Linked DNA regions of Elephas maximus indicus. The protein of the gene in region 1 interacts with the protein of each later gene in a pairwise test. Links are inferred from orthologs where the notes say so. Each region holds a gene or a part of one and is shown on either strand. Other genes may lie near its edges. The genes, in order: MOAP1, LATS1 and THOC1.

The links.
Region 2: the proteins of MOAP1 (region 1) and LATS1 interact in a two-hybrid assay, tested with the Homo sapiens proteins (2 studies listed by BioGRID and IntAct). The two-hybrid records come from large-scale screens. The link is inferred for Elephas maximus indicus from reciprocal best matches to the Homo sapiens genes MOAP1 and LATS1.
Region 3: the proteins of MOAP1 (region 1) and THOC1 interact in binary tests that used the Homo sapiens proteins (3 or more experiments, as listed by UniProt). The two-hybrid records come from large-scale screens. The link is inferred for Elephas maximus indicus from reciprocal best matches to the Homo sapiens genes MOAP1 and THOC1.

The regions. Positions count from the first base shown.
Region 1 is NC_064828.1:106,763,654-106,771,619, reverse strand, and holds MOAP1 (modulator of apoptosis 1), read left to right. Parts: upstream 1-4,928; 5' UTR 4,929-5,296; intron 5,297-5,521; 5' UTR 5,522-5,645; coding exon 5,646-6,707; 3' UTR 6,708-7,382; downstream 7,383-7,966. Other genes in the region: LYSET (lysosomal enzyme trafficking factor), read right to left, coding at 3,360-3,771, 4,398-4,495.
Region 2 is NC_064819.1:220,991,004-220,998,082, forward strand, and holds the start of LATS1 (serine/threonine-protein kinase LATS1), read right to left. Parts: upstream 3,023-7,079; 5' UTR 2,772-3,022; intron 1-2,771. UniProt on the Homo sapiens protein: Negative regulator of YAP1 in the Hippo signaling pathway that plays a pivotal role in organ size control and tumor suppression by restricting proliferation and promoting apoptosis.
Region 3 is NC_064829.1:26,422,670-26,430,580, reverse strand, and holds the start of THOC1 (THO complex subunit 1), read right to left. Parts: upstream 3,011-7,911; 5' UTR 2,980-3,010; coding exon 2,926-2,979; intron 667-2,925; coding exon 593-666; intron 499-592; coding exon 438-498; intron 1-437. UniProt on the Homo sapiens protein: Component of the THO subcomplex of the TREX complex which is thought to couple mRNA transcription, processing and nuclear export, and which specifically associates with spliced mRNA and not with unspliced pre-mRNA.

The DNA.
Region 1 (7,966 bases):
AGGTGGCTGGAAGGGGTGGAAGGCACTGCCAGCCCTCAGGCCCCTGTGTGGGTGGCCAGAAGGAGGAGGCATCTCAGACCTTCAGGCCCCGGCAGGGGTGACTAGAAGGAGTAAGAGGTGCTGCAAGTCCGTAGGCCCCGGCATGATTGGCTGAGCAAAGGGGTGGGCACCTCCAGACTGGACTCCCAGCTTAGGGAGCAGGGTAGTGGTGAATGCCGCTGGACTGCAATCACGTGCGAGGACACGGGGCTGGGCGAGAAGGGTTGGGGTGCCCCACAAGCCTGCTGGCCTCTGACGCAGGGGGGCTGGGGTGGGTGCAGTGGGTGGGATGCATGCACTTAACTTTCACAGGGTAGGAAGCAGTCCTGCCTTGCTTTAGCCATGAGTGGTTGAGCAGAGGGGTGGGTGCATCCAGACCAAGAGCTCCTGGCTTAGGGGGTGGGGCAGTGGTGAGTGCCGCCAGACTATGATTGTGTGCGGGGAGGGGGCATGGGCAAAGAGGATGGGGGTGTCCTACAGGCCTGCAGGCTTCCAGCACAGGGTGCTGCGGTGGGTACAGTGGGTGGGGTGCACGCAGTTGACTTTTGCTGGGCAGGAAGCACTCCTGGCTGGCTCCGGCTGTGTAGGCAGTCATTCCTGCTTGGCTGCACTAGGTAATGGGGGTTTCGGCTGGGAAAGCTGCTTGCTTTGTGTCAGTATGGCCGGGCTGTTCAGGTACGGCTAGCAGGGCACTGGCGATCCATAATTCTCCATGTCTGCTGTTTCTGTATTGTCTGTCCTTCCACTTGGCGCTTTGTCTGATTCTTCACCTTGTCTTTGATGCTTCAGATTCTTGTCATCTATATCCAATTCGCTTGTTTTTTTCAGGTCTTTAAGAGGGATGCTATGAAGCATCTGACTGCTCTGCCATCTTTTACTACCTCCTTTCCTCCTTTTTGAGAAGCAGTAGAGTGGAATGATAAAGAGCTGGCTGGGGCTCTGAAGCTGGACATCCTGGGTTCAAATCTTGGCTCTTCTACTTATTATGTATCACAGGCGAGCTATGAATTCCTATGTGCTTCAGGTTTCACTTTGTCTGCTATAAAATGGGGCCAGTTAAGAGTACAATACCTGCCTCATATGATTGTTGTGAAGAATCAATGTAAATTTTCAGAAAACAGCACTTGCATCCTGCAAACTGTGAGAAAGTACTCAAAAGACATAAGCAAATATCCAACCCTCACCTAAACACAGGTATTTCAAACAGCTGCGGGTGCTTGAAAATCCAATATATTGGATCAAAAGCTCTATCATTTCAGTAAATAGACCTTTGGAGGTACTAAGGGAGATAAATGAGATTAACTGGAGAAAGATCTGTTTGTGCTGCTTTTGAGTTACAAAGGCATCTGCTTTATCTTTCAAGTAAAACCTTGCCCCAGGGATGTTCCGCCTTCTATCCTGGTCAAATCAGATGCAGTGTTAAGGTTGAAGTTGCTAGAAAATTTTCAGACTTTCAGTAGCTCATATACAAATCGAGAAAGAACTTTCTCAGTAATATTGCCATTTCCCTTCTGTGGCACAGCTGGGCAGACAGTACCTAGTACTGAACATCTGTCGTTTGTGAGAAGTGCTGTGGTTCAGTGGTTAAGAACAAAGGCCTCAGAATGCCTGGTTATTAACTCTGGCTCTGCTCCTTACTGTGTGACCTTGGGCAAGTTACTGAGCTTCTCTGCCTCAGTCTCCTTATCTGTAAAATCTGGGTAACTGCTATCTCCAGGACATCATGCTTGTGAAGTAGACGGTTGGCTGAAAAAAAAGGAAGACCCTCAAGGAGATGGACTGATACAACAATGGGCTCAAACACAGCAATGATTGTGAGGATGGAGCAGGACCAGGCAGCACTTCGCAGGACCAGGCAGCACTTCACAGGACCGGAAAGCACTTCATTCTGTTGTACATAGGGTTGCTATGAGTCGGAACTGACTCTACAGCCCCTAAGCACCTAACAACAACCGGCGTGTTGTGAGGACTGAGTTAATTCATGTAAAGCTCTCAGAACAAGGCCTAACAAGTAAGCACGCACACACAAAAAAGCAGTTATAATTATTCTTAAAATCTATCAGCATAAAACCTCTCTCCTCTATTAATGACATTACTATATAAAGATACATCTTGGTCTCATCCAGAAAAAAAAGAACTCCTAAAATCTAAACTTCAATTTTTAGTTATCTGTATTGGTACCAGACAAGAGGTGGTGTGACTGCAAAGGAGGTACCAGGATCACATCTTTATGCAACTGACCTACTGTCTGAAGACTTTTTTCTTTCTAAACTATATTAGCAATTCAACAGCTCAACCCTGACCTTGAGCCGGGGGCGGGGGGGGGGGGACCGGAAGGGACAATGACTTGATAGTATCTTTTAGAGGGGCATTAAGCATCCTGAAGGAGTCCTGGTGGCACTACAGTTTAAGAGTTCAGTTAACTGAAAGGGTGGCTTAGAGCCCGCCCAGCAGTTCCACAGGAGAAAGACTTGGAGATCTGCTCCTGTAAAGACCACAACCTAGAAATCCCTATGCCAAAGCCCTATGGGATGGTTCTATGCTGTCAATGTGGTGTCACTGTGAGTTGGAATTGACTGGATGGCACCTAACATAGCATCTGCTAGAGACTGGACTACATTTCCTCTGATATTTTCATGGACAAAACTTTTTCTCCTCTTCTACATGTAAATTATTTCCAGACTTTCAAACATTTAGTCTCTTAGTCCATTTTTTTAAAAAAACAGACCATTAATAATGACATAGCTAGCCCTTACCAAGAAGTACAAATTCTGCTTGTCAAGATGGCAAGCACTAAAATAATCATACAAATTCCTCATAAGCTGACAGAAAGCAGGCATAAACAGCTGGCTTAGTTATCACAGGATGCATTGGTGTTTTAAAGAATTTTAAAGCAAGCCAAGTAGTTGTATAAAATTTAAATTTTATGACCATGTTTGGACATTTTTACATTTAACACAATGGAAATGTTTATATTCATTCGTTTTTTTTTCCCCAGAGGAAAAATATTGAATCACCACTATGTTACACAGTAGAATAAAAATATGAGTTCAGGTGCTTATTCAAGTTTCTAAAGAATGCAAATAAAATACACGATATTACTTCCAAAATCTGACATCATCAACATGATTTTGTAGTATCTCAGGCTTTAGCTAAAAATTCAGTATAATTCAGATGAAGATAGCCCCCCAGTCACGCTTTTTAAAAAGCCCCTGCCCGACCACAACTTCCGGAGAACTGTGAAGGAACTGCAGTCTTGTGATCAGACTCCAGACGGTGCTGGCAGTTTGGTAATCAGTAAGGAGAAAACCATGACTGTTTTATGTGTCAATCAGTTGTAGTCTGCTGATCTGATTAGAAGCCTTGACAAATGCCTGGTGGCGATTGCAAATAACTGCCAGGCATATTGGGATGATACAGTAGCCCACCGTTTTCGGGTCAGCTCTTGTACAAGAATAGAGGAACAAAAACATCTGTAGGTAAGGTATCAGAAAAATAATTGTCCATAACCAAAAAGGCAGGGAAAGTAACCGAACTTTCAAGGAGTGTGTCCATGTGGTTCCTTCAAGTGGTTCCTCAGGGTGCTGCTGAATGTGTTCCAAGGCCAGCCTGTTATAAGTCTCACTGATTTCAAAAACATAGTAAAATGCCGCTGCACTTGCTAATAGATACAATCCCACTCCAATCCATCCCATCCGCTGACGGAAGTTCATCATTCTCCATGCTCTGTGCCTTGAAATTAAAAAAAAAAAAAAGTTAAAACCAAAAAACCAAACCCATTGCCACTGAGTTGATTTGACTCATAGCTACCCTATAGGACAGAGCAGAACTGCCCCATAGGGTTTCCAAGGAGCAGATGGTGGATTCGAACTGCCGACCTTTTGGTTAGCCGCGGAGCTCTTAACCACTAGTTGGGCCTAGTATTGTTATCATAGCAGCAATTCCAAATACACTGGCTTTATTTCCAGTGAGCTTTTTCCCTCCAATGAGTTTTAAAATACAAGACTTAACACATTTAAGGTTTAAAATAAGTAGATTTACATTTACTGAGAAATGTAAACAACTTACAGGTTATTTTATGTAATAGTCATGAGCAAGTAAAAACCACTGGTTTCTGTATATACCGAGTTCTGCTTTTTATACGAATCCCACAGAGTAAATCACCACCCTGTGCTTAAGCAAGTCCAATACAGGTCCTCAGGAATTAGCTGGAGTTAAATTCCCCACGCAGCATTTCACTCTTTACGATTCAAGTACTTTCTGACTTCACAGTATCCCTTTAGACGTGAAAACTCGGTTTTACGAGTCAAACCAAAGCCGGAGCCCCCAACTAAGAACAGTCACTCTGAAACACTTACAGTGGTCCTGAAAATCTTCCTGTCCCCACGGCAAGCGTTAAAGAGTCACTCAGCTCTGAGTAGGCAGGCGGCTTGGGCATTTCAGGGAGAGCCACCATAAGAGAACTCCCATGGGTCACCCGCCTCAGAGAAGGGTGAGCTCGGCCAGCCTGGAGAACAAGCTAACAGTGACTAAGTCCAGCGTGACTGGGGCCGCTCGCGCGGGGACGGGGCCAGCCTGTCACCCGGCCCGGCCAGCAGGCGCCGGCGCCACCAGGGCCTCCCCAGCAGCCGGCCCCGCCCCCTGCCGTGCGGCAGCGCCAGCCGGCCGCGACCAGGGCGGCGCAGGCGGCACCAGGCCGGGGCCTCGCCGCCCCGCAGCCGGGAGCTCCGCGCCCAGCAGTGGCCACCGGCAGAGCAAGCAAAGCGGGGCAGCTCCGGGCTCTCACCTTCCTGTCCCGGGTGGCCCGCCCGCCCGCCGTACCGGAGGCCGCCGCAGTCGGGGCTTCCGGCTCGGGCCGGAAGTGCGCTCGCCCCGCCCCGGAAGGCCCGCCCCCTAGACGTCAGAGCGCCTCGGGCCGCGGCGCCGCTGCTCTGAGAGCGTCCAGACAGATCTAGGTGGGGTGCCGGGGGTGGTCGTGTTGTCGCCGGTGACAGCCTGTGCCTTCAGGGGGCCCCCGTCCGGGCCTGGCGGGCCTCGCTCGCGCTCGATCGCCCAGTCACTCCCGCGGCAGAGTACCGGAGAGACTAGGTGGCCCTGCATCCCTCGCCGTCGCCCTTTAGAGCCTCGCTCTCCGTCCAGTCTCCGTCCGAGCCGAGGAGAGGTCGCTGACCCGCTCCTCAGGCCTGGAGGCTTGGGAGCCGGCCCTGGGCACCCCGAGCCCCGGCAGCTGGACGCAGGCGTCGGCCACTAGATAAAGGTGGGCGGGAAGCGGGCCCTGCGAGCGGCTCCGCGGGCCCCGGGGTCCGCTGGGGGCGCCCGAGGCCGGGAGGCGAGGTCACATGGCTGCCGCTGCGGAGCGCGGAGGCCTGGGTGGCCGCTCTCGGCGTCGCCGGGGGTGGAGGATCCGCGGGGCCTTTCGCGTCCTGCTGTGCGGCCTGGGACCTTGACCCAGTTAGCTAACTCAACTGCTTTGTCCTCACAGGCTGCTGGAACTCGGGACGTTGACGTGACATAGCTGGGGGACCGCGGAGGACTACTGCGAATCGCGGTGGGCATCTGCGCCCCGCCGGTCCAATTAGAATTTAAACCTCTGTATCTTGGGCACCATGACACTGAGGCTCTTGGAAGACTGGTGCAGGGGAATGGACATGAACCCTCGGAAAGCTCTGTTGATTGCCGGCATCCCCCTGACCTGTAACGAGGCGGAAATCCAGGAGGCTCTGCAGGCAGGGTTAGCGTCCCTGGGCCAGTACCGACTACTTGGGAGAATGTTCAGGAGGGAAGAGAACAGGGTTGTAGCCCTTGTAGGACTTACTGAGGAGACTAGTCTTGCTGTGGTCCCTAAGGAGATACCAGGGAAGGGCGGTGCCTGGCGAGTGATCTTTAAGCCCCCTGACCCAGATAATGAATTTTTAAACAGATTAAATGAATTCTTAGAGGGAGAGGGTCTGACAGTGGCTGAGTTTACCAGCGCTCTTGGGTATGGAAACGACCCTTTTGACCTAGACCAAAACCTAGTCCCACACGTGGGGGCCCCTATGTTGGCAGAGGCATTAGATGAGGCCCTTCAGCCGGCCCTGCAATATCTGCAATACAGAAAGCTGAAAGTGTTCTCAGGCAGCGATCCTCCAGAACCTGGAGAAGAAGGATTTGATTCCTGGCTGTTTCATACTACTCATATGATGAAGACATGGCAGGTGTCAGATGCAGAGAAAAGAAGACGATTGCTAGAGTGCCTTAGAGGCCCAGCATTTGATGTCATTCGTGTCCTCAAGATAAACAATCCTTTCATTACGGTCCCTGAATGCCTACAGGCACTTGAGCAGGTATTTGGGGTTATCGATAATCCTAGGGAGCTGCAGGTCAAATTTCTAACCACTTATCAGAAGGCTGAAGAAAAGTTATCTGCCTATATCCTAAGGCTGGAGCCTTTATTACAGAAACTGGTAGAGAGGGGAACAATCGAGAAAGAAGTTGCGAATCAGGCCCGCCTAGACCAAATCCTTGCCGGGGCAGACGACAGAACCCTTCGGAGGAGGCTTGACCTGCCGGAGGACGGCCCGGCACCTGGCTTATTGCAGTTACTGACACTGATAAAGGAAGAAGCAGCAGCTGAGGAGGAGGAGGAGGCCCTTCTTCAGGCAGGACTAGAGGGGAATTTCACCTGAGTCTTAGGAAACCAGAAGGGGATATCTGACAGTGAGCAGAGCATGAAGGTACAGCAGCCCGTACTCACCAGAGTTAGATCTGAACCAACCCCCGGCCTTGTGCCGCCAAGTAACTCATCCTTGCACAGTGCTCAGTATAAAACCTTTGTCATTTCTGTGCCTACTTAATGTCTCCTAAGTGTGTCCTTGACTAGAAAAAATGGAATTTTGCACTGGTATTTATATATTTAAGTTCACACCTGTGATGTTTTATATAAAACCGTACAGAAGGGTGCATCACTACATGTATGCAGTGCTCTGAGGTTGCAGGCACAGCTCAGGGACATGGGCTGAGCAGAAGAGCTTGCTGAGATGTCAGTTTGTGTAATGACGGGAGCAAACGTAGCATGTCAGATGGGATAATATGGTATCGTAGGTCGTTTTTAGATGTGTATTGTCTCTTATATTTACCATGAAATCATGAACAGTGGTTAAGATATTAAATATTTTGTGCATGAATCAGAATTTTATTGATTCTGTGCAATCAAAAAGCGGAATTACATGCTGAGGCTGAAAAGTTTGCAGCTGCCACCTCTAGCCCTAGGTGTCTGATATGCGTTGAACGGTGTACATGTCCTGAATGTCGTTTTAATAGATATTATACATGTGAATTTATAAAATAAAGGAATGCTAATGAAGTGACTTCTTTTATCTGTTCTACTTACATTAGGGTTTCAAGAGAGGTTTCATTTGAACAAATGGTCCCAAAAGCTTAAATATGAAAACCACTGAGGTTATACAGTCTTCGTCCCTCTGGACTCTCTTCTCTTGGTTCCCACAGGGTAGGAAGTGCTTTACTAAGTGAAATTGCTGGAGGGACCTGCTACTGAAGCAGTGAAACAATGGAATGAAACAAAACTACACAAATTGTCCTTGTGTGCCATTGAGTCAGTCCTGGCTCATAGCAAGTCTATATGACAGAGTAGAACTGTCCTATAGGGTTTCCTAGGCTGAAGTCTTCACGGGAGCAGATCACCAGATTTTTTTCTCCCACTGAGTGACTGGTGGGTTCCAACCACCAACCTTTTGGTTAGCAGCCGAGTGCTTAACCATTGCGCTGCCAGGGCTCCTTGTACACAAAGTAGTGCATGCCTCTGTTAGAAAAGCTAAATATTTTTCTATATATTTTCTCATTTAATCCTCTGAAAAATCCTGCATTGTAGAAAAACTCAGTTTCACACTTGTGGAAATGGGCACAGAAAGGTTAAGAAAAATTTGTC
Region 2 (7,079 bases), on another chromosome or scaffold:
TTCAATAAAACAAAAACTCATTGCCGTTGAGTCGATTCCGACTCACACTGACCCTATAAGAAGACAGAGAAGAACTGCCCCATAGAGTTTCCAAGCAGCACCTGGTAGATTCGAACTGCCAACCTTTTGGTTAGCAGCCGTAGCTCTTAACCACTATGCCACCAGGGTTTCCGTTCTTCAATACGCCTCAAAGTTATACACTCAATCATAAAGATAATAAAGAGGTTCAAGATAATTAACAAGGGTTTTGAAAAGGAGGATGTCACCACGATGTTATGTGTTAACTACCTGTTTATTCTCCTTGACAGAATCCCTGTGTGGAGCAAACGATTGGTGTTCAGCTGCTAACCAAAAGTTGGAGGTTTGTGTCCACCCAGAGGCACCTCGGAAAAAAAGCCTGGCAATATACTTCTGAAACTGAAAACCCTATGGAGCACAGTTCTACTGACACACATGGGGTCGCCATGAGTCATAATGAACTCAGAAACTAGTAAGAGTTCTTGGGAAAGCTCCTGCAGTATCTCCTCTGGTAGAAATTATACCCATCCTTTGAGGTCCCACTGAAATACCACTTTCTTCAAGAAGCTTTCGTTGAACTCCCAGCTGTTATCCTTCTCCTCAAAACTTCAAATGCACCTTGCATGGTTCAAACAAAACATGTTCTTGCCCTACGTATGTACTTGTCTTACTTTTCCTGCTATGTCACTGATTCAAAGAGAATAAGGTATCTTGGAGATACAAACACACACACAGACATACATGCGTGTGTGTATTTTTTTCAACAGAAAAGGAAATGGATCCACAGAGGGAAAGTGGCCTGCAGAAGGTCACACAGCCAGCTGAATCTTTCCATTACACCTACATTTTGAGTCTCCTTAACAGGTAGGGATCATCTTTGAAGGGGCACTGAAATTGGTTAGGCTAAATGGACTTAAAATCTCCATTTCTTTGAAAGTTTAGACATTTATCAAAAACACAAATATCAGTAAACTGAAACAAATATTGAGTATCTTGACAACACTTAGGGAAAGAACTAATACCATTACATAATAAGATATTCAAGTTTACCTTTGGTTAAACTAGATTTACAAAAAAGATAACCTGTTTCAATGCTTTGAATACATCAGTTGTGAGAATAGCCCACAGTAATAGGTACCGCTACTTAGCTGGAAAAATCTTCATAGTTTTAGTTGTTTAGACAAGAATATTCAAGAAAAGCCTGTGTAATGTTGATAACATTCTCTTCAATTCACTTTCTAAGAATGAACTGTCTGATCAAAAGTGAAAATAATCACTGTATTTTACTTATGTGCTGAAAAATGACTGCCATTTCTTCTTGATAAAAATGTTGTTCAGTGACTAAACAACTTCTGAAGTCTACAAAAACGCTCCACTAATCTAAACAACAATTAAGTAACCAGAGTTTGCTTTCAGACTGTATTATACAGAACAAGGACTAGACTTAAAAACAAAAATAAAAAACTTAAAGTTTAACCTACAGAATGAAGTCCAACTATCATACCCCCAAAAAATGCTGTAACGAAAATGCTGTAGTAGCTTTTTATTTGCTTTAGGAGTGGCACGGCACAGTCTATCAATATGCACGCACAGAAAGAATGTGCCTTCTCCACCATGTGCCACGATCTACTTTCTTGCAGTCACAGCCGATCAAAACACAATGCTACCTCTTTAACAGTTAGATTCCCCCACTGACTTAGGCAATCAACTAGCCCATTTTACCTGTTAACTTATTAAAGGAAAGAAATAACCTTGGTAAGGACAGCTACAAATGTCAGTACCTTAGCAAAGAATACTAATTCCAATTATAACATCCCACCTTTTCTTCCTTCTAGAGGAAAACTGATTAAAAAAAAAAAATTACTCTTCATAAATAATCCATAGTGGCCTGGCAAACTCCATGATCTCAAGTATTCAAATGTATTTCCAAAGATGAAGTGATACAATATGATTTTTTTTGTGTGAGACTATGCTTCTCACTAAATTTATGAATGAACTTCTAGACGAAGATAAATATTTTAAGCCATATTAAGATATGAAAAAGACAAACATTAAACTTGGTCCCTTAAATAATGACTTTCAATTGGAGAAGAGAGAGTATGGGGTTAAATCAAGTCACCTGAGAGTTATTCTATGAGCTACAAGCTCTCTTCGAAAATATGCAATGTTCCTTTTACTTTCTTTCCATCATCTTCTGTGTTTATATACACACTTCTTCATAAACACTCTTCCATCTCTCTCACCACTTCCAACTATGAACAGTAACCACATTACAGTGGACTGGAAATAGATAATAGAATTTCTTCAATGTATACACAGATCGGGTGCTTCTGGGATCCAAAGAACTGCACCTCTCCCACTGCTAGTTTCTCTCGGAGCCACCTTCGGCTCTCCTCCCCTGCCAGACACCGCTGACTCGCGTGTTGGGGGTGGGGTGGCGGGGAAACGGTCGGCGCAAGGCCGCCAGGGAGGCAGACTCTTCCCAGCTTAACCTGCACCTCCGAGCCCGAAAAGCTTGGGGCTCTTCCTCCAGTGCTGGGCGCGGCCAACACACGCTTCCCCAGGGCACGGCTCAGCTCAGGTCAACGCTTCCAGCCCAGATAGGCCCGGCCCCGGCCGGCTCAGCCCGCCCGTCCGCAGCAGCCCCTGGACCCCCGCCAGCGAGGATGGGCGTGGGCCCCGGTGGCCACCGCCCGCCAACCCTGGCTCCCGAAAAGAGTGGGCCCCACCCGCTACGCCCGCCGCGGACCTACCTGCAGGGGAGAGCGGGGCTCCTGGACTGCGGCCACGGGCCCGAGAGCGGGCGCCGAGGAGGCCGGAGCCCGTACCAGGGACCCCAAGTATCCCTGGCTGGGCAGGGCAGGGAGAAGCGCTGGGGGGCTGCCGCGGGCCAGCGCGGCTGGTCGCGGGGGTCGCGGGGACCTGGCTCTCCCCTTAGCACCAGGCCACCGCCGCTGCCGCCATTTTGCCTTCCACTCCGTGTCGCCGCCGCAGCGCTCCGCGGCAGGTTTCCCGGATGTGGGCATTTCCCGGCGTCGCTTGCGCGGGGGCCGAGGACTGGGGGCTTCTGCCCGCCCGGCGGCCGGGAGCGAGCGCGCTGCCTGCGGCCTCCCGCGCGCGACTTCCGCCGGCACCTCTGGGTGTTGGTGTCAGCCGCGTCGCTCCCGCGTTTCGCTGCCCAGATGACACACGCTCCGTTAGTGGAGTCGGGCTCTTCCCCACCCAAGCCCACTCCTGGATTTCATTCTCTTTCTTTCAATTGAGCTTTTGCTCTGAACGGGTATAGAATAAAGATACGCGTGTCCAGGAGCTTAATTCTCAGAAGGGAACAGCAACGAGTCGCTCTCTGGTACCTCGCGGTGGCCATCAGATACAGGATTTCTAGAGGCTTGGAAGTAAACTTTGATGCTTGCTTAATGCTCTTTCCCCGAGTAAGTCTGTGAGCGAAAGCATATATGTATTCTCCGAACAAGCCAAATAACACGTTCCTAGAGCCGGGACAGATTAATAAACATATTTTAGAGACCTTTATCTGCCACCAGTATCAGTACAAGAGGAGGTCATTATTGTCCTAATAGGAATAACAGTGACCAGTGGTGAGAAGTTTTATTTCCTGTTAAGTTGAATCGGAAGCTTGGAATGGGATCGTTGGAGGTACCCTCCATCCTTTGTAAGGAAGCACTTTGCCAGTTCTGCCTCTAGAAAATAAATAGTTAGCATTTTCAAGTACCTCCTTTCATCATTTTTCTACTAAAGGCTAACTAAAAAAAAAAAAAAAAATTTTTTTTTTAATTGAAGGCTTCTTTTTCTGATGTTATATGAATGACTGGCCAGTGTATCCGGAAGTTCAAATGAGGAAACCTTTGTTGAAAGAAAAGATTACATTCCAAGAGCCCTTCTAAACTGTAAGCTCCATGAAGGTAGGAATATCTGTTCTGCAGATTGCTCTCTTCTTAGCACCAATTACAGCCTGACAAATGGTAGATCTTCAGTAGATATTCAACTGAAATCTGAATTCAGTTTTAAATGGCGAAAAAATATTTCCACGGTTATCACAACCTAGACATCTGTATCTACATTGTTGGTCGCAATATTTATCTTTCTTTAAATACTTTTATCCCTGTTATCTTACAGTATCTTTTGTAGCTATTGTCAGTGCCTCAGTTTTTTTTGAAGTTACCTGTTCACCAAATCTTGACCTCATTGTCTTGTGTAAGTATAGCTGCCAGCTCTTGCCTGCCCTCTATATTTGGGTCTCTACCTCTCCATTCCCAAGTTCTTTGTCCGGTGCCCCCATGTCCAGTGTTCTAGATTACTACTTTTGCTGTCTGCTCTGCCTGAATAATCACCCATAAACTTCTGCATGTTGGCCTCATGCCCACTGTTGACCCCCTGACTTGCTGCTCTTTGTCTGCATGATAGTCATAGCAGCTAACCTTTATTGGTAGCTTTCTACATACTAGCCACAAAGCTCAGCACTTTCACATAGCAATTAAATGAGGAAACCCAGACATGAGTTCAGGCAGTCTGACTCCAGTGCCAACTCCAGTGCCTCCTAACCACCTTTCTGTACTGCTGCAACTTCTAATCTGAGCTTTTCTCTTTGCTTGCATGGTCCACAGTAACCTTGTTTTCCTTATTGGCTATGAACTATACCTCTTTGCCAGACCCTGCTGCTGTCCTCCCTTGATTCTCTCTCTCTCTCTCTTTTTTTTTTTTTATCTCTAGTTCCCCTTAACCTGTCTCTTCACCATCCAAGTCTTGGCTTTGACGTTTACTACTCTATCTCACTTTATTTTTAAATAGGTAATACATTCAAGTGGAACAAAGTAGCAAAAAAAAAAAAAAAAAAAAAGGAGAAACAGTGAAACCTTCAATCCCTGTCTACCCAACCTGCCTGTTCCCGTCCTTGGAGGCAGTGTTACTGCCAGTTCTTGTGCATCCTTCCAGAGATGCTATGCACATACATACAAGTACAGTTACGTTCTTTTCTTCCCTTCCTTTTCCCCCCTTATACATACTGTTCTGTGACATGCTTTATTTGTTTTATATTTGTTTAATTATATATCTTGGCAATCATTCCCCTTTGTTATATAAAGAGGTTCTTCATCTAGTTGTTGTTGTTAGGTGACCCCATGTAATAAAGTAGAACTGTCCCATAGGCTTTTCCTGATTGTGATCTTTATGGGAGCAGATCCTCAGGTCTTTCTCCCACAGAGCAGCTGGATGGGTTCAAACTGTTAACCTTTAAGTCCACAGCTGAGTGGAGTGCTTAACTATCGGGCCACCAGGGCTCCTACTTTTTTTGTCTGTATATGCTCACCTCTTGATTGTTATGGTGTCTTCTAGGTGAAATTTTATAAATCAGAGATGGCATCTGTGGTTGGTCCATATCTAAGGGCTATTTCTCTGGGTGCGAACTATCATGGTTTCCATATACAATAAGTCCCTGGGTTAGAAACATCTGACTTATGGATAGCTCATACTTGCCCTCTAATGTTATATAAATTTGTCCCCACTTTGAACAATGGAACCAACTCCTACTGGCAGCAAACTCATCACAATCACGTTCCTTTGCTGTGAGTGCAGCTTTTACATCACTGAAAAAGGTTCAAGCCTTTTCTTGCACTAACCAAAACCGAAAACCCATTGGCATCCAGTTGATTCCAACTCATACCAATCATATAGGACAGAGTAGAACTGCCCCCTAGGGTTTCCAAGGAGTGCCTGGTGGATTCAAACTGCTGACCTTTTGTTTAGCAGCCGTAGCTCTTAACCGCTACGCCACCAGGGTTTCCTTTGCACTAAAATAAGGCTAAATAAGAACCATATGCACCTATTCTGAGTTACCCACAAATTAAAGACTTAAAGACACACTTGGGAATGGATCTTGTTCATAACCTGGGGTCTGCCTCTATTGTAATTTAATCTGGAATTTAAAATTAGCTGCCAGCTCTCCAAATTTGTTTCATTCTTTATATTTGATCCAGATCACCACTTCACTATAGTAAAATAAATTAGGATCCATTTCTTTCAAAAAAAGAATACTTTTACTGTACCTGTTGGGTACACAAATCCATGATTAACACTGTGGAGAGATTAAAATGAAGACACCGTCTGTTGTGTAACAACCCAGTGGCACCTGAACCCAAGGTCAGCTGCATCTCCAGGAGACCAAAGAAAGGCTCCAGAACCAGTGATCACAACATATGGTTTATAACGGGACCATGGCTCAGGGCAGCGGCTAGACCAGTTTAGTGCTCCACAACTGCATAGCAAAGGACATAAGCTTATATACCATTCCAGCTGGGACCAAGGCTCATTGTTTTCTCCCACATCCTTGGGAAGCCAGTGTTCCCAGGGACTTCACTTCCAGGCCCAGATGTTTTCCTCCTTGTCGCTAAGGTGTTCCTTGGCCTTGGCCACCGGCCCAGTCACATCACTCCCAGCCTTGTACCTCAGCCCAAGTCTATCCAGAGTTTATCCCCAGCATGCTTCAGGGAAGAGCAAAACTGACTCCATTAGGAGGGAATGCATATAGCTGAATGGCATTACACTACACCATCTCTGTCCTTTTGAAGTATATAATACAGTTGGGGAACAATGTAAGCATTACATTGACTCTAGAAGTTGCATTTATGTAACATTTTATTCATGGCACAGTCTAGTGCAGGCATTCTCCACTGGCTGCCATTTTGGTCATTAGATGCCATCAAGGTAGGAATGAAAGCTGAGGAGATGGAATTTTGACAGATTCTTCAAGAAGTCTGGAAGTTAACAGAAGGGGGTGGATAGGATGTAGGTGGAGAATTGGAGGATGGTTTTGTTTTTTGCTTATTCTTTACATCAGGGAGACTTCAGTATGTTTTCCATAGTTTGGGAGGAAGGAGGCACAACACATACAATATTGGCAACAGGTATTGTTTTTTTCTCCCTTAATTCTTCCTGTTAGGGATGTATCAATTTTTTCAAAGAACCAACTTTAGGCTTTTCTTCTGTTTGTTTTTGGTTTCACTGATTTCTTCACTTTATTTCCTACAGCTTTGGGCTTAATTTCTCTT
Region 3 (7,911 bases), on another chromosome or scaffold:
ACACTCTTTTTATACTCAGTTGCAGAGGGCTCTTCTTCATTTATTAAACCAAACCCTTAAATTGCATTTGTGCTATCAAAATCCTTAATTATTATACAACGCCTACACTGACTATAAGAAACCCTAGTGGTACAGTGGGCTCCATAGGAGAAAGGTATGGCAGTCTGTTTCCATGAAGATTTACAGCCTTGGAAACCCTATGTGGTTGCTTCGAGTCAGAATCAACTCAATGGCAGTGGGTTTGGTTTTCCGGTTTTATATACTATGACCAAGTCCACTTTCACAAAGTAGCAAGTGCACTGTACAAAAAATAAAAAAAGGTGCCTTAACCATGTTTAAATATCCAATCTAACAATAAAAGCAATGTTTTTTTGTAGTAACTCTGGGATTAGTAATTTGTTGGCAAAATTTTAACAATTAAGGAAAACCAAACTTACAATTTCTTCTTCTAGAACACCTCTGAAAGCTTGATCAAGAGTGCATTTTTTTTCATTTTCACTATTAAGGAAAGAAAGACAGCCTCATTTTTTAAACAGCTCAGGGTAAGCATAAAGATTTAGGCAAACAATTTTCATAGGTGTCAATGCCTTACCTGCCAGGTAACTGGCTGAAGGTACTCAACAATGGCTTGATGTTTTTGTTGTTCAAGGCTTCTCTGGTAGACTTCTAGAAAAATAAAAATGGCAAATAAGTAGAAAGATTTTGTTATTATTTACTAAAAAAATATAATTATTAATATAGCTTAGTATGCCTAACTAAAAAAATGTTTATACCTGGGAAAAATTACCTATACACCTTTTTCTTCATGATCCTTATTCCAAATGGCACCAACTAATACAAATCCTCATCACTTTAAACCCGGCAAGAGCGTACTAGCTAGCCTTTCTCATTCCAGGTATCCCCTTATATCATCCCCTTAACTATCACATTCATGATGGCATTCTACTTTGGAAAAAAAAAAAAAAAACTCCAAATGGCTTCTTATTCATATGTTTTCATTTTGAATTTTCATACCTACCTCTCAAGGTCCTTGATGCTATCCCACTCGGTCTATCCAATCTTATTCCCCACTACTCTCCAACATGAAACGCTACACTAAATTCTAGCCATTTTTTCATCATTTTCTATCAAGTTCATTCTAGTGTGTTCACATTCATACTCCCACCTTCTCATCCAAATTCTATAAGTTTTTCAAGACCCACCTCCAGTCCGTCTTCTCTATGTAGCCTGCTCAGCACAGTCCCTGACATGTAATTAGCACTGAATAAATAACTGCTGACCATCTTAAAGTAGTCATAATTTAAAGACACAAATACTGTAAGGTCATTCGTTCTGTGAAAATTCACATACACTTGGAAAGTCACTGTGTTAGATGACTCTAGAGGAGTTAAGAGCTATGCTGAAATGTCCATTCCTGGCTCTCCCACTAATTTGTCATTATCATTATCGTTAGGTGCTGCAGAGTATCTTCCGACTCACGATGACACTATGGACTACAGAATGAAATACTGCCTGGTCCTGCGCCAATAGGCTGTATAATCTTGGACATATCTCTTACTCTCTCTGCTTCATTTTCCTCACCAATAAAATAAGAGGGCTGTCTTAGACCCATACTACCAGCAGCAGCAGTGGCATTGCTTGGCAACTTGTTAGAAACGCAGAATTTCAGGCCCCACTCCAGATACTGAACCAGAGCCTGCACTGAACAAGGTAGCCAGGTGAGCCTACTGCACACTAAAGTTTGAGAAGCACTGGACTAGATGAACTCAAATTACACCATCCTTTCCAGGACTAATACGACCTTGGATATTCCTAGTAGTTACTCTTAGCTGTTACTCTTCCTAGAATTTCAAGGCACCAAGGATGACAGAAAAACACACAAAAAATTATTATGATCACACAGACATTATATAATTCGTTAAAAAACAAACCCCACACTATATGGAAAAAAAAAACCTGCAGAAAGAAAACGACTGACTACAAAGAATAATTTTTTTTTCCACAGAATTTTCATTCTGGCATCACTATTACCACCCAATCACAGTTAAATACCTGAAGAGTTGAACCATGCCTTGAAATACTGGTACAAATGCTAAAGAAGAATACAGCCAAACAACTTAGGAAGAACAGTGTTTCTTCATAATGGGAGCAGCGATGCACAACATAAAGAATACTGGGTCTGGAGTCAGAAGAATCAGTGAAGTAAACCACTTAACATCTTTTGGGGGTCTCAGTTTCTATCTCACATACTGGTGATAATAAAATTTAGCCTATCACAGTGCTAGTCTAAGAGTTAAATGAGCTAACGTGAAAGCGCTCGGAACGGTGTTTCCCAAATGCTTAAACCACCCTTCTCCAACACGCAAGAATACGGTGACATCTGGTAACCCTTCCCAAGCTGACCTGTTTGCTTTTCCCCACTTAGGGTCGTCTTTTCCATCTATTGGGACTGAGATACGGAAGATTAAAGGGTGGTGAACCGGCGGCCGGTACAACCACCTCGGCAGCTTAGAAACTCGGGCGAGAACCGGTTCTCCAGGCTGAGCCACTCCCGCCCTCCCCCTTCAGCAGCTCCCCTTCTAGTTCTGGAGACACCTGCCCGCTAAGCTAACACTGCAGAGGAGCTGGACCGCACCGGAGGTATTCTTCCGGTGAGATCTCCACACAAAGCGCAAATGCACCCAGAACGCAGGGTCCTGAGACCTGCCGGCGGGAGGGCGGGGACAGGCAGCAAAGGACGCGCGAAAAAGCTAGGGAGCGCACCCCTCCCTATCTCCCAGCCTCCGACGGGGCCGGGAGTAGACGCCGAGGCGTACACACCTCTGTTCCCGCTCTACCCCAGGGGAAAATTCGAGTAATTTGAAGGACAGGAGAGCAAAGAACAACGCCGGCTCAGGCCTGCACGTTCCCGCCGCCGAAGCTCACCGTAAACCGCGTCCGCGCTTCGGGCAAACTAAACAGCGGCGGCGTCGGAGACATCTTCCCGGCAGCGCGCGCCCGCCACCGCGCTGCGGCGCCCGCCGATGACGTCAGGCCGGGAGCAGCGAGTTGGCAGCTCCGTGCGGCTAGAGCGGCCTGTGAACCGTGGGGCGGGTAAGTTGTGAGTTGAGAGCTTCCGTGGCGCGTGAGTTCGGGTGGGCGTTGGAAGTCTGAGTCGGTCAAGCAGTGCTTAATCCGCCTTCGCGGGTATGGCCCTTGGGGTTGGGGGATGTGGGCGGCCTCGCCCTGCCTGCTCGGCGTTGCCGGGCAGGGAAAAAGCGGGGTCGCCCACCTGCATCGCGGTGGTTTCCCTGGGGTTGGAAAGCTGGGTGAATGGCGGCTAATTACGGCCTCAGAGGGGCGGCGCAGGAAGGTAACTGGTGTCCGAGAATTTAAGGTGTGTGCGTTTGGTAGAAACAACGAGCTGCGGAAATGATGGCCGTGGCCGCCGAACCGTAGTCATTCAGCCTGAAGCTTGAGATTTGAAGTCGTGAAGGACTCTAGATTTGAATATTAGCCTTGTGGAATGAAATGATACTTGGCTCACAGGGCTGTTGAAAAGCTGGAATGAGATAATGAATACTACGCGCATTATAAATTGGTAAAAGCGATGTAAGTATTGTTTATTATTAATATTTTTACTCTTGGAATCAAGATGACTTTAAAGTCAACTTTTCATTTGACTTTACTGGCGCATAATAGGACTCTACTGAAGAGAAAGACGGAGCAGAAGTGCAGTACCCGGCGCTGATTCGAAAGTGGCTGGCACTGGGTCCAGGGCAGAGGCAGCCCTTGCAAAACCATGCCTCCTAAGCAGTTTCTTCCCTTTCCTCCTCTCACAAGAGAGATGTGGCCAGTGAGAAACCTACTGGCAGTAACACTCCGTTAGGGTTATGCAGTGCAGTAAGAGACACCGACCCCAAACTTTGCTTCCGCATGTACCTAAGTGAAGAAAGCTAGACCTGCTGTATCTTGCCTGTTCCTTTATTTACATCCAACAAGGATAAAGGAAGCTAATAAAAAGATAATTTCCACAGAGCCTTATCGCAAAGTGGAAATTGTGCATACTGATGGCTAGCTGGAGCATTGCAGTCTATTTTTAGAACCAATCAAATCATTCAGGTTTTATTGTATAACTTTAATTTCCAAATTAGCAAAAAGGATTTAGTTTAAAAATATACTTTGTTAATCTGAAGGTAATTGATGTAATATGATTATCATCACATTAAAAATGATTATTAATCTGGAACATAGCTGAGACCTCAGAAGTAAAAAAAAAATTTTTTTCACAAAATCCAAACCCAAGAAGAGCTGGGGTTTATACTAGGAAGGGCACTTGGATGTTGAACAGCCAGTTGGATGATATCCTTTGGCCATACTGGTTGCCCAGCACAATTCCTCTTACTTCAGGGGCCTTGGTGAATATTGGGCTACTGTTCCCATCTTCCCTACCATTTGAACAGAGTCCATCTACTGAAGAAGAAAGTGAGGCCAATGCATAGACACAGAGCTTAAAGATGAAAAAATAGACTAAGAAATGAAGAGAGACGAAGATAAAAATGTTAAGTAGGGAAGACAGATGGGTAGGAGGGAGAGATGATGAAAAGAGAGATTGATTACAGCACAGTTTGAGCACTGGACTTTTTCATGTCAGATGACAGCTCCACCACCATCCATTTTAGTTACATGAGCCAGTAAATCCGTTTTATTATAGCTTCATGCTGTTTGGAGTTGGACTTCATTTGCTATCAAAAAGTCCTAATTATGCCTGGAGCAGCAGAGGAAGAGGAGCCCTGATGGTGCAGTGGTTAAGTGCTCGGCTGCTAATGGAAAGGTCGATGGTTCAAACCTAGGGAAAGGTGTGGCAGTCTGCTTCCATAAAGATTTACAGCCTTGGAAACCCTATGGAGCAATTCTACTCTGTTCTGCAGGGTTGCTATGAGTCAGAATTGACTTCATGGCAGTAAGGTGGGTAACAGAGGAAGGAGAGTCAGGAATAGGAGGAGGATATGGAATATGTGGCTAATTGCCTTCATGAACAACTGCCTCTACTGTGAGACCAGAAGAACTGGATGGTGCCCTGCTACCATTACTGATCAAAGATTGTATAGAAGAATCCTGATCAAAAGGGGGAAAATGTAGAACAGAATTTTAAATTCTTATGGACTTCAGACTTTCTGGAGCCAAGGGCGCTGGATGAATCTCTGAAACTATTGCCCTGAGATAATCTTTAAACCTTAAACCAATAACATTCCCTGCAGCCTTAAAACCAAGTAATAGTTTAGCTTAACTAGTAAAAAAAAGTCTGCCTTGAGCATTATACTCTTTTAAAAACTATATATGGTGTCAAAGTGACAACAGCAACTTGAAAGATTAGATAAGAACCTTAGGGAGCAGTGAGTTTACGTTAATGGGGAAGAAACAGCTCAGAAAAGGAGGGTATGAATGGTTGCATAACTTGAAGAATGTAATCAGTGTCGCTGAATAATACATGTAGAAACGGTTGTATTGGTGTATGTTTTGCTGTGTATATTCTCAACATTAACAGCAACAAAATAAAATCATTAAAAAAAAAAAAGTCCTAATTAATGTAGGAGGTGAGGGGGAGTTTCATCTACAATTGTATGGGTTATTGTTTGCTTTCCTTTTCATTCCTTAGTCCCAAAATGAGAAGGTTGGACTGCCTGCTGAAGTTCTGAATGGGATGGATTAGCTTTTGAATGATCCAGTCTGCTGGAGATTATGGTCTAACAGGTGTATACACCTGCATTACCTCCCATGAGCCAGGTGAAGTCTAGTTGGATTTTGCCCCGAACAGTGGTAGTTGGTTGATGTTTTCTGGATACATGGGAGAAGAGAGGGGTGAATTGAGCGGTGGTAGATGTGAACAGGAGCGCTCATGTGATCAGGAAGTGACCGGGTAAGTGGGTGCTTTCTAATGCTGTAGTGATGGTGACTCTCAAATTATGTACCTCAAAACTGCCTGCCTGAAGAAATGGGGGCAGCATTTATCATCTGGCTTCAATTTTCATTCATCAAAGGCTGCTTCATGGAATGTTGCTGTTGGCATGTCTGAGTCCATAGAGGGTTCTCACAGGTGTTCTATGCAATGACATAATATTACTGAAGCCCTGGGCAAGGGAAAAAAAGATATGATGCAGCTGAGGTGAAATGCTGTCATTTTCACCTGTGTGGAGCTGATGTCACAGCAGTCGCAAGTGTAAAAGTGGGCCCAGAGGATGGGAGGCAGGGCCAAGGGATATCTAATATAGGGAAAAATTTTTTTGACTTCTTAATCAAAGGGGGAGCCAAAATAAATTACAGTCTTCACAAAATGATGTGGGATCAAGTATATCAACTGTATTTAAAAAAAACTAAAGGGTAAGCGTTAATAGAATCTAAAATAATAGATTCTATACCTCTAAGATCACTGAAGAAAATTAAAAAATATATAGATCATATAAAAAAAGTTAGAGAACAAAGGAAACTGCAGAATCAATCTCTGTATGGAGTGTGTATATGTGTATGTATAAGCCTTTATGTATGGATGTATATATATTTTAAGGTACAAATTACTGATGATAGAAGCAAAAATAGACATCAGAGGAAGGGTTGATCTAGCCTGAAGTTTATACATTTTGGGAGAGATGGTCTTTAAGAAGAAGAAGAATACAAATTATGGATAAAAAATTGATATGAAAGTGAATAATTTTGGGGAATGAGAAAAATGAAAGTACATTATAAATGTCACAAACATCGCAAATCCAGAAAAACTGCAGTATTATTTAACTGCCTGGTATGCTTTTATCATACTTTTCCTTTACATTTTTGAGTCCATGTTCTTTGATCACCTCATCATGTGACAATGGTTATGTAATATTTTTATTAAAAAAGAGAGGATAACTCGACCTTTTATTTAGCATAGTGAACATCTTATTATTGATAGTTTAGAAAAAAAAATTTTTGAGCTTCACAGCTAATTATTGGATATGCCACATCTGTAACTTCCTCTGCAGTTTCTTGCTCTGGTAATGCTTCTTGCTCTGAGAACTCCAGCCCTTTGGTACCTCTTAGTATGGCGCTTGAGAGCCATAGCCAGAGTTGGTCCATCTAGCCATGCCCCCTTCCCCAAGCAGGCCAATCCTTGGTGGGAGGAGGTAGCCATGAAGCTGGAATGTTAAGCCCTGTGGGTGGAGCTGAGCAGCATCTTTTTTTATTTTTTATCTTTCTCTTTGGAGTCCTGGATGCTGGATGGGGCTCACCATGGGGAGATTGTTACTGGAGGCCGGGAATATAGAAGATATAACAAATAGAAGACAAATGGCAAGCTGACAGACTTAAACCCATCCATTTCAGTAATCAGATTAAAAGTAAATGGACTCTTAAGTGCAATGTGGAATCCTGGATTGGATCCTCGAATAGAGAAAGGACATTAATGGGGAAACTGGTGACATCTGAATAAAGTCTCGTTATTTAATTGTAATGTGCCAGTGTTGGTTTTTTAGTGTTGATAAATATACTGTGGTTATATAAGATGTTAACATTGGGGGAGATGGTGAGGAGTATACAAAACCTGTGTGTACTATTTTTGCAGCTTTTCTGTAAATCTAAAGTTATTCCAAAATATTTACTAAAAGATATAAATAGACCAAATATCAAATTAAAGCCATATATTGTCAGTCTGGATTAAAAATCAAGACTCAACTCTCTGCTGTTTGTAAGAACACACTTTAAAAGTAAGGACAGATAAGTTTAAAATAAAAAGATGGAAAAAAAACCTTTGTAAATACTAATAAGAAATGTAATGTTATTATATCAATACTGGAAAAAGTAGCCTTGTAGACAATATTACCAGAAATAAATAAACTCGTTTCATATTTATTAAAGGGTAATCTCGTCAGGAAAACATAACAATCCTAAATGTGCGTGCAT